2 linked regions of the Oryzias latipes genome follow. The protein of the gene in region 2 purifies or fractionates together with the protein of the main gene of each other region. This does not show direct contact. Links are inferred from orthologs where the notes say so. Each region holds a gene or a part of one and is shown on either strand. Other genes may lie near its edges.

Region 1 (5,723 bases), on a different chromosome or scaffold from region 2:
ATAAATCTAAGAAAAAGTTATTTTAAGACTATCACATATGTACAAAAAACATATTTACCATGACTGCTGTGGATCAGGGCAACAACTGCAGCAAGAAGAAAAGATCTCATTGTTGCAGAAAGAAAGACTAACTTAAATACTTGAGAAAACGTCGAGAAGTCTTCAAGCAGCGACTAAAGTGAAATGAAAGCGTCCTGCGTTTTTATCTGACGCGCTGTAGGTGTGGCTTTCGTTTGGTGTCCAAAAGCCCCCAAACTTTTCTGTCAATTTCACTTTAAAAATGAAAAGAAAGAAGTAAGATTTGTTTTTGTTTTTTTTTATTTTTTATAAGCGTTATCGTTGTTTTTAGATTTAATGACAGAGTTTTGCTGATGGATGTTGACATGGGAAATGACTGTGTGAACCAGAAACGCAGCTGTCCACTCTCTGCTCCAATAATCACGACTGCTCTCTGCGCGTCACGCGTCGCTCAGGGAACCAAACCACTTCTGTTTTAACCTGAGCTTTGCGGGTGTGTTTTTTTTTCTTTCCTTCCTCATAAGAGCCATCATGAAAAAAATGTGTTAACGATGTTTCTCACACTTTTTGGTGCGATGTGGAAAACCTATCAAGCCAACATTTCACGCTTTATTTTATTTCACTGCTCACGGGGGATAAAAAAAATTGTTTTTAGTGTAATCTTAGTTGTTTTTTTTTTAATTAAGACCTTCAGTTATATTAAAATGAAAAAGGGAAAAAAAGAAAAGGGAAAACTCGTTTACATCTAACAAAGACAATGCCTACGATGGCGTATGCTACATCATCTTGCATTATAAAAAAGTTTGTTTAAAAATATATTTCCAATAAAACAACAGCATGGCGTGAAAATAAACACTGAGATGTGAAAGTATACAGAGTATTGAGACGTAAAGAAAATCATAAATATTGGCAACCAGACCAATCTAGATTAATCGATTTGTTTTCCTGTGATTCAACCAGATCGATCTGTCTAAAGCAAATTGGTAAACGAATTGACATCTACCTTTATCAAATTGTTTCTAATAGTCATAGACAACAGACAACACACATGTAATGGCAGCAAAAAATGATCGAGCCGTCATTACAGTCCAATGCTTTGAAACATTTTTCATTTTTTGCAAAGAATTTTGTGACCATAGTAGAATGGTAGAATGTTCTAATATTGTTCAGATTATTTTATTTTGATGTGGAAAAACAGACGTGGGCTGAACTTTATGAAACTAAATTTTGACTGTAGATTTACTATTAATTGTTGTTTACGTGTTTGTTTGTTTGTTTGTTTGTTTGTTTGTTTGTTTGTTTGTTTGTTTGTTTGTTTGTTTGTTTGTTTGTGCACATATTTAATTTACATTTGATTATCTTGCAAGAAATACAACAAGGAATCTGTTCAGTACCGAGTCACACTGGCTGTTTTTTTTTGCTCAATTTTAGGTCAGTGAATTGGATGAAATTGGATGTTTCAAAATGAACCGATATCAACTTTGAATCCTATTAGCAACCACAAATTATGATACAGATCAAATCGTTTTTTAAAATGAATCGTAACACCCTTAATATTTATTATGTTTCCTATCAAAAACTTAAAAAATAACCCACAATCTTTTATAAAGCAACTGAATGACAGGCCATCTAAAAAACAAGCGTTCTCGTTTATTGTATTTATATATTTTATTTTCCGTGCTTCTCCACAGAGGCCGATTTTGTTCACGTGTTATTGAAGTGCCACACACAGTCCGACAGGGGGCAGCGTAGCGTGGACACGGTTCTACCGGAAACAGAATCGGGCAAAAGCGGAAGTTCCGAATATTGCTCCCTGAATTCTGGAACGGTTGTTGCCTGTTCGTAGACAAATTTAGTGTCAAAGACGTACCTTTCCCTCGAAGTAATGACGAAAATGGACAGATAGTGTTAATTTAAAAAGGTGAGTCAATAAAAAGCTGCCACGACTTAGAATTTTGTTTGAGGAACGCCGAACTGAGAAATTAGCTGCTGAATTTAGCAAGGCTAACTTCAAAGCTTTGTAGCTGCTATTGTTTTTAGCACTAACAAATCTGTTAACGTTGGATTCTTATCTGTGTACTAAAGAATTTATGTAATAATGGCATTTGCTTACTTTGTTGTATTTTATTAAATTAGCCTAAAGCCCTTAAGACATCGTGTAGCGTTAAGCTAAGCGCTTTCTGCTGCGCGCGTTTTCCGGTCTCTGTTTTGGAGTAAATAATTAGGGGAAGCAGACATCAGATTTACTAGTTTAATTAAAACATACTTGCATTTTGTATTGGATGCAAACGCTAGTTTTTAGGCTTATTAAATGCTGCTTTAAGCTACATGCAGTTAACCGAAGTAAACTAAATTGGGAGGGAAATGTTTTTGGGAATGGATCATCTTTTTTTCCTAATTTCACTGAAATTTGTACTGTTTTTCTACAAATTTAAGGTTGTGGTTCCTTGAAAAAGCGGTGCTTTCGACTGCCACGCAGGATTTGGGAGAGCCTTACCCGGGCCACCAGCGTCTTGTAACTTAAAGAACTGCTTTGCGCTTCCTCCTTGACCTTGATCACTGAGAATGGCCAATAGCACCCCAATAATAGTGAAGAGCCTGCCTGCTGGTCCTGCAGGTAGAAGCAGCCCAGAAGGATCTCAGGTTGAGTATTTTTCAGTTTTGTATTTAGTATACAGTAAACCCTTGTTTTTCGCGGGGGTTACGTTCCAAAAAGAACCCGTGATAGGCAAAATCCGTGAAGTAGAAACCTTTGTTTTTTCTTACAATGAATTCATTCATTCATTCATTCATTCATTTTTTTGAATGAAGAACACAATGCACGATGCAAATCCGTGAAGTAGCGAAACCGTGAAAAGTAAACCGCGTTATAGCAAGGGATCACTGTAACCACTTTTATGTCCTTATATTTTTATATATAACTTTTGAAATGTATTCTATTTGAGATATTGTTTATATTTTATCTAATGTAAAACTGTTTCATCTATTTGTCTTTTTTTTGCAACAACTACCATGTACGCTTTTGAATTTGATGCTTTGTATTTTGTTTTATTTTTTTACCTGAAAATATTTCTATTGTGTGACTGCAGCTAACAGCTACTTCGGGATACTGTTTAATTGTGAAACACAAACCTTACACTCACATGTGTAAGTGTTACACTTTCTCTTTCCTCTTGTCTTCAGGTCCTCTCTAAGAAGAAACTGCAGGACCTGGTGAGAGAAATTGACCCAAATGAGCAACTGGATGAGGATGTTGAAGAGGTCAGATTAAAAAAATATTGTAACCTCTTATAAAGACTATTAAAAGACATGCCTGTTGTATACCTTATTTAATATTTTCAATGCTTACGTCCGTCCAGCATTTCAAACTGTTACGTAGAAAACATGGATTTTTGTTACATTCATAAATCAGAACATATCTTTATTTGTGTGTAAAATCTTACTTTGTTGAGTTCCTTTGAGGCCTTCATATGTTTTTTCTTCTCAGATGCTTCTACAAATTGCAGATGACTTCATAGAAAGTGTTGTGACAGCAGCCTGTCAGCTGGCACGCCATCGCAAATCAAACACGTTGGAGGTTAAAGACGTTCAGTTACATCTAGGTATGTTTTTTACAGGCTAAATGCCCTTTTATTTTGTACTTTTTGTTTGATAAATATTTAGTGGAAACTAAGGGATTTTTGTCTTATTGTTGTGTTGTTTTTATGTATTTTAGAGCGTCAATGGAACATGTGGATTCCTGGTTATGGCTCTGATGAAATTCGACCGTATAAGAAGGCTTGCACCACAGAAGCTCATAAACAGGTAAACGATAGAGTAATTTTTCTGTTTGTGAAGTCATATTATTGCCGTAATTGTTAATTTTAGTTCCCTTTTCTTGAGTCTAATGCTCCCCATGTGTTTCTTTTTCAGAGAATGGCACTGATCCGCAAGACGACTAAAAAATAAAAGGGCAAGCCCTTAGGTTGAACCCAATTTGTATATTTTCAAATTTTTAACTTTTCTTTTATGCAATTGTTTTCATTTCCACTTGAGTTTGTCATTTTATTTTATTGACAGTAGAAAGCGTTTTGATGAGGTCGTCTGTCTTTGACATTAAATATCGCTCAATTGTAACGTCTCCCTGAATTTGAGTGTGTGGAGTCATTGCACAATGTTAGTACTTTGGTGTGTGTTTTTTTTTTTCCCACTAAACAGACTGGTAGAATTTCATTGTAAGTCTTGTCAATAAACACTTGCTGGAAGAATTCTTATGAATGGCGACCATTGCTGCTCCTCAGTTTTTTTTTAAATCCTTTTCAACATATTGATGTACACTTGGCCAAATCTGAAACGCATCTAAAATGACTTTGGCGTAGCTATTTTGCAAGTGTAACAAAGTGTGCTTTGAATTTTTTTTACTGTTTATACAAAAAGTTTAGCAGTAAACGGCGCATTGTTGCCAAAATAAATTTACCCGTGGTGTTAAAAAATAACAAATGAACTTAAGTGCATGGCGTCCCTAATGTTTTAACTAATAAGCTGTATTTTTAATCTCCTTGACGACTTTAATTTAGCACCGACATGAAAGCAAAACCATAAGAAATTTTTAAAAAATAGTTTGAAATAAATTCAGGCGTCAAGGGGTGAAAGACTTAAAAATGACAAGCCACAACATTAAAAACACATAAAATGGTTAACCTTTTTCCTCAGCCTGGTACTAAGGAACATTCAGATCGGTTAGATTTAGCCAAAAATACATTAAAGGTTGGGAAAGCATGAAATATTTATTGAAATTTTAAGTAAAATTATCATAGAATCCAGTAGTTTTCAAAACGTTTTTCCTAATACTTGACAAGAAAGGTTTCTATTTAAGTCTAAAGAGCAAGAATGAAATTATTGTTAGACCATGTCAAATACTCATGAGCCTTTACTTTTGTGCTATCCTAGGCACTTTAACATTGGGAATTGGGTCATCTAGACCCCAAAAGACTGCGCTGAACTTTTTTCTTCAATGATTTGTGATCTCTAATGGATTACATGAAATCCTCTCCACCTTTATCCACCTTTGTCATGGTAGGAAGAACACGTCAATGGTCATTTTGACCCCATAGGATAGCACAAGTGTTACGTTATATGTCTACAACAGTCTTCATTTTCAGCACCAGCAACAAACAAAAATGTTTACAAGAGTGCCAGGTTAATGACACCATCAGGACATTAGTGGGATTGGCTTTACACCATTCACAAATACAAAATCTATCAAGTTAAAAACCAAAAGTCTGCCTTGCATGCAGATTTCAGAGGCTTTGGGGGAAACTTTGAGCTTCGCTAATGCAAAGCGAGTTTTAAAAGAAATCCTGGACAAAGTAGAGACCTGTTGGCAAAACTTGTATTATTGCTGAAGAGATGAGGTCAAACATTTAACATTAATCATCCTTTATAGAAACAATCTGAAAAGACAACCTGCAGTCATAAAAATGTTTGTTTTAGATCAGTACGTCTCATGGTACCAGTTTGCTTTAATACACGAGTACAAAAACAGCATTTTAGTGATCATAGCCACAAATTTCAGCTCCTATGAGGGTACTTGTTGTCAGTCCAGTATTTACTCGCAACATTTCTTTTTCTTTGGCGCTGTGCTGGCTTGCGAAATGCTGGCCTTTTGAAACTGCAGTGCCTGTGGGGCAGCACACTTAATGCCATCCCAGCCTTCCTGCAGCTCC
Region 2 (5,820 bases):
AAATGTTCTTTTTTTTATGTATTTAGTTCATGAAAAGCAGAATCTGAAAGATATACCACTATAAATAAAATACCAAACCGCTGAAATGCTGGACGCAATCGCCTCATTGGGCTTGAAAAGTATAAACGCCACTCATAAGTTTGTCGCAGTTTAACGTGGACAGTCACAAGTAAAACCCCATTAGGAACTAGACCGCACGATTGGTCGGGGGCGCCATGCGACTGATAGAACGGCCGATCGCTCTGAAGCAGAAACCAGCCTCTACAGTGAAAACATGAATTCAGGTTCAGACAAAGAAATCCCCAAATCAGTGAGAGAAAGCAGACTGAAGGAAATGACTTTCTGTTGAGATGAGCGGTTGATCCTCTGCTTTACTGCAGTGGATCATGGGTATTATCGGGTGAGGTGGGGGGAGGCACACTCACGCGGACGGCCCCAGGAGGAACACCCTGACGGCCATCCTCTGCTCGTCCGTGTGCTGAGGACATCGCTGAGACCTGGAGGGACACAAGGTGGCATTACATGACCCTGACTGACGGCGTGCCCACACCCACCGCACAGCTCCACGCCTCACCCCGGGGGAGGCTTCCCATGATGCTAACGCGTCTCCTCAGGCAGACGGACGCATTAACCTGCGTTTCTGAGGAGGAGGGTAGCACGATGGAAAGCGGCCCCGCATGCAGGAGGTGGGACGGACTGCTGGGAGCCGGTCAATGACCAACACCAAGACGTTTGGTCAACGACCGGAGCCGTCTTGGTCCAACTGACGCTGATGTTTGTCCGCTTTTATGGAAGACTTTTGCAGAATTTGGTTTTTGTTTTAAAAGGGAGAAAAGAAAAAATCTCCAGGTTGCCACTTGTGTTCCCCTGAGTTAGTCTCTACACACTCAGCGTGATGACAGACAGGTCGACCTTCCCAAACTACAGGGCAGGAAGACGACAACCCTACAGCAGGTTAGTCTGACAAAACAACTACAAGTTACAACATCCAAACAAGAAAATGCTCTGAAACTAGAAAACAACTAATAATTTTGGATATTTCCAACTACCTTGTACACATCTTCTTCGTGTGCTCTGATATGACCCCACACTGCTGTGATAAAAAAGACAAACACACACACAGACATGGTACATTATGCTGAGAAATGAAATTTTCCTGCTGATGTGTTTAAGGTGCTCACTGTAGTTAGAAAGGATCGGACTTCATCAGGGCCCAACATCTCATAATTGATGCCAGCGTTGTAGTTGTACTGAAATGGAGAAAACCCCAATCAGTGAGGTGCACAAAAACGCCCCACAGCCCTGCACTCGTAATGGAGGAGAGGCGTCAGTCACCTTGTAAGGATCTGCACTCATGCTGCTCCCAAGCTCACCTGGAGGAGGAAACGTGCAGCTCTTCATTCACAAAACTGAAGCTTTGTGTTAAATCACGTCCGACAATCAAGTCAATTCTACTGTCATTTGTAGTCCGACGGCCTTTCTCTTTACGGAACTCTTATTTTGAAAAGCCCACTGAGCCGTTTCAAGTAAAACAATACATTGAAACTTTTCACTGCTAAGCCGTTAACTTTCTCCTTTAAAAAAAATGTATTTTTCTACTAAAATATTCAACTGCAGGCCAACAAAATTCTAACCAAAAATAATCTAAGTATCCCTCATTTTAATGAAATTTTAACAAGATGAGCTTGTAGAAGAAATTTAATTAGACTGAAGCAAATAGTACTTTAACCAGTTTCTCTCTGTTGGGAAACAACATATTTTTGATATTTGTTTTAACAGGATGCAGATTTCTGACCCACTTACCGTTTTTGTGTTTCAGAGTTTTTGATCTTCTTGGGGAATTTTGACTCTGCAAAGAAATATGTATTGTTTTAAATAAGACTATTTTACAGAATAAAACGAATAAATTGTGTCAAAAGGTGATCAAATCAATACCTTGTCCGATTTCCTTTTCTTTGCTGAAAAACAAAGTGTGCACAGGTGTGTTTATTTTGTAGCGTCACCGTCCGTCTGTATTTTGACGTTTCCACGCTCACCTCTTTTTTCGGCTCCGTATGACCAGTCGTTATCGTTAAGGTCATCGTTGTCTTCTTGGTCGCTCTCCGATTTGCTCGTGTTGTTGTTGCTGGCGAGTCTGGCCAAAACGCAGAGGAAAACCGCGAGTGTGAACCGAATCAATAACAGCGCCTGACTCAAACGGTCGCCACCGACAAACCTGCGGTTGGCGATGCGGCTGCTGTTGCGTCCCATACCCAGACATTTCTCCAGGTGAGGAGCAAAGCGGGAAGCTGCGATCAGTCTTTTACAGTTGGGACATTCACACTCTTTGTTCTTCCACTGATTGTACACCTGTCCAAAGATGTCCACTCCTGGTTGGTCCACGATTTCTGAAACACATTTAAAAAAAACAAAAAAACAAGTCAAGCAAACACAGACAACGATAAATGAACAGAATCAATTGGACCGAACGGGACAGACCAAATTCTTTCATGCTCTCTTGGTCCGTTTCATCCAGAAAGAAGTAGCCCTGCTTCACAGCACGATGCACCTCGAAACACAGGCCCAAACACGCATCTTCCACCAGTTCAGAGTAGATGTCGTTCACCAAGGCCTGCCAGCAGACAAGACACTCAAGTCAAAGAAAAATGGTGGGGTTATGTAAAATGACCAAATGAGGTGATGGGGATTCACCTCCAGCTTGGTGTTGTCTGGGCCTGAGAGAGGCATATCCTCCATTTTCATTTGAAAATCTATCCAGGATATCTTGATATGGAGGTGATGAGCTGGTGTCCTTCAAAATAAAAGTTCAACAATCATTTTAAAATAAGAAAAGAAAAGGTTTACTGGAAACAAGAAAATAAAAGTAACAAACATCTTACTTTTACTTTGAATATCAAGCCTTGTAGCAAAACTTTCTTCATTCTGATCAGGAGAAGGAAACAGAGGAGGATGAACAATCTCCAAACAAAACAAATGCAGGTGAAGAAGCTTTTTCAGGGGAAAAAACAAACTTTATTTAACATAAGCAAGCTGGAAACTAAATAAATACTCCATGGTAGCTCAGCCTAAAAATACTACAGTAAACACATCCAGCTGGGTTCAGACAAACTTCCATTAAGTAATAAATAATTGAATTTTCCATGTAGACCAGGTTATAACCGCTTTCCCCTCCTATTTAATGAGAAACAGGAGGTGTAAATGAGTTCTTATTTATTAATTTTTTAATATATAATTGCATCTGGTCGAATCTAGATGTTATTATACTAATTATACTTTAAATTGTAGGAATGTAAAAGCACTTTCTTCCTTTTTTATTATTAACAGTTTAAACACAAACATATTTAATATGTTTAAAAAAAAGTATTAGTATTTATGCCTACAGACAATCCTTGGATATATTTTCCTCGTTTGTCAGACGGTAACCCTAAAAGAGCAGATTGATAGCATCAGAATTCGAGCGAAAACTGTTTCCTCTTCTTACCCGGTCGTGCCAACAACAACTCAGCCTGAAGCAGGCGGTTTCTCTGGGAGAAGCCACATAACCGGTTCGGTCCGGATGAAACACGCAGACGGGATGCTTGTCCTTAAGTCGCAGCCATCGTTACGATTTACGGTTTTATGCTTCTGTTGTCCGAAGTCAGAGCTGCCGCAGGTGGAGGTTAGCTTAACTGACGTTAGAAACCCGCTTGACATCGAACAGGCCGACAGCTTGGCCACACACAGCAGTAAAGCGAAGAAGAATAACACGGACGGGCTTCGGGTTTTACTTTCAAAAAATAAAAGCTGTATGTCGTAAACGGTGTTGGATTTAAAGACAAGACTTTGGGATTTGGTCATAATTTCTTCTTATTTACTTTACAATTATTTACATATATCAAACTGTCAACCGCGTCACAGAGGAAAATGTAATTCAGAAGAACTTTCTTCAAAAAAAAGAAATTACTAAATTACTCTGAAGGTACATATATGTGCTTCCGGTTCTATTGTCACGCTTGATTTAGAACCTTCCTTTATTAACTTTAGCTATAGATTTTATAGACTTTCTATAGATTCTATAGACTTTTAGATTTTATTATCAAATATTGTGGTTAATATACATCACGGCTGCTTAGTACTTGCCCCATTCAGAATTTTGAATATATTATTAAACATAAATGCCTTCCAAATTAAAAAAGTGTATTAGATTTTACAGCTTTTCAACATCAAATAGTTGATTTTAGGGTTTTCTGCGTGTTCTAACTTTGAAAACAAAAATTTCCTTATTTAGATAAGCAATGCTATGATTTGATTCAAACGCATATGGATTACTGTTTGATGAAAATATTTCAAAGTTGCAAACTGGAAGCAAATAGTTGAACATCTCAGACAACATTAAAAGTGTTGAAATGTCGTTTTCAGTCTTTGCATCCTTGATATTCATGGTAAAAAAAAAGTGAAATGTTTTGGTTACATGGATGTTTTGCCTACTCAAAAACATAGCATCTTTTCAAGCTTTTTTGTTGTTTATTTGCTCAAATACTTGAACTACAAGGACATAAGAACACCCGGCCTCAGCTATATAAAACATCAAATTCTGTCAAATGGTCAGCAGTACAAACTTGTAAAGCTTGGCTGTTATAGAGATCTCTAGAAACCAACAGCTGGCAGAGGAACAAAAAACAAACGGGTGAATTTAACCAAAAGTTCCTCCTGAAGAGTGAAAGACTCACCGGCTTCCAATATCACAGATGAGGGTTTCCAAAAATCAAAGTACTAACAAAATAATAAGCACTCGATACAAAAACTGTATTTACAGGGGGAAAAAATTACATTTTTTATACTCCAAGTCCACTGGCAAAAGCAGTTCTGCAAATCCCTTTTCCAGACCTCCCCATGTCATTTTCCCTTTCCCTCTTCCAGGTTTGTCAATAGTCTGCGCTGGTTTTGTTTAGCGAGGAGATTCGCTGCGGTTCCAATCCTCCAGATCGATGCCTCTCGCTTTGTCTGAAAAGCCAAATCTACGGCGACGTTCATTTAAAGTTCAAGTTATAGGTGACTCGACAGTGAAGACCTTTGGACGAGGAAATGTCAAAAAAAATTGAAGAATATCTACATTCATGGTGTTGGTATGATGTCCCACATACATACGTGCACGCCGTAGTCCCATGACGGTGTCCAACAGACGGCACACATTAAAGCAAAGAAACACACATCCTAAAACAGTTCTGTGCGTGCGTGCACAAACTCAGGACAGATTTACAATAAGTGCACACTTTTTTTTTTTTTTGGATAAGCTTGAGACGGAAACCCATAAAGCCAACCCCTTAAAAAAAAAAAAAAAAAAAAAAAGTAAAGATATCTGGAGAGGGACAGTTTTAAAACAGATTGAGAAATAGATGCATCGGATTTAAATAATTTTAAAGAGACAAACAACTTCAGTTGTACAGTCACTCTGAGGTCTGGACAAGCGGCTAGTCAAAGTCCTTAGAGACTTAAGGATCCAAATTCTTGTGATCCACAGACAACCGTTCTGTTTCCAAAGCAACAGAGTGGATGTAAAGAGCTGCAAAGACGCCGGTTTCTGAGGAGGATTTCATTTAAACACACACACAAAAAATAAAATAAAATAAAAAACGAGCTGATCGAGGAAGTGATCACTGCTTTTGAGTTTAAGGAAGAAAACATTTTTTTGTGATTAACCTGAACTTATTTGTTTCAGGAGAATCACATTCTGTAAAAGTGACACAAAATCCTTAACTGGAGGTGATTACAGTTACGGCTTTAAACCTGTTTAATATGTCAGATTATAAACAGTTCAAACCAGATGTGAATTCTGTTCCG

Evidence for each region. Proteins that work in one complex are often made in the same cells at the same time.
Region 1: the proteins of atxn7l3 (region 2) and taf12 purify together in Homo sapiens (affinity purification with mass spectrometry; 5 studies listed by BioGRID and IntAct, counting the BioPlex papers as one, with this or other methods). This does not show direct contact. The link is inferred for Oryzias latipes from reciprocal best matches to the Homo sapiens genes ATXN7L3 and TAF12.

The regions. Positions count from the first base shown.
Region 1 is NC_019874.2:22,542,141-22,547,863, forward strand, and holds taf12 (transcription initiation factor TFIID subunit 12), read left to right. Parts: upstream 1-1,785; 5' UTR 1,786-1,939; intron 1,940-2,454; 5' UTR 2,455-2,583; coding exon 2,584-2,661; intron 2,662-3,201; coding exon 3,202-3,279; intron 3,280-3,505; coding exon 3,506-3,620; intron 3,621-3,733; coding exon 3,734-3,822; intron 3,823-3,930; coding exon 3,931-3,966; 3' UTR 3,967-4,281; downstream 4,282-5,723. Other genes in the region: uncharacterized protein LOC101164588, read right to left, coding at 59-110; rab42 (ras-related protein Rab-42), read right to left, coding at 5,606-5,723. UniProt on the Homo sapiens protein: The TFIID basal transcription factor complex plays a major role in the initiation of RNA polymerase II (Pol II)-dependent transcription.
Region 2 is NC_019866.2:4,612,538-4,618,357, reverse strand, and holds the start of atxn7l3 (ataxin-7-like protein 3), read right to left. Parts: upstream 3,767-5,820; 5' UTR 3,482-3,766; intron 2,923-3,481; 5' UTR 2,880-2,922; intron 2,792-2,879; 5' UTR 2,743-2,791; coding exon 2,692-2,742; intron 2,612-2,691; coding exon 2,479-2,611; intron 2,388-2,478; coding exon 2,216-2,387; intron 2,135-2,215; coding exon 2,037-2,134; intron 1,959-2,036; coding exon 1,936-1,958; intron 1,850-1,935; coding exon 1,804-1,849; intron 1,374-1,803; coding exon 1,336-1,373; intron 1,251-1,335; coding exon 1,182-1,250; intron 1,094-1,181; coding exon 1,050-1,093; intron 498-1,049; coding exon 426-497; intron 1-425. UniProt on the Homo sapiens protein: Component of the transcription regulatory histone acetylation (HAT) complex SAGA, a multiprotein complex that activates transcription by remodeling chromatin and mediating histone acetylation and deubiquitination.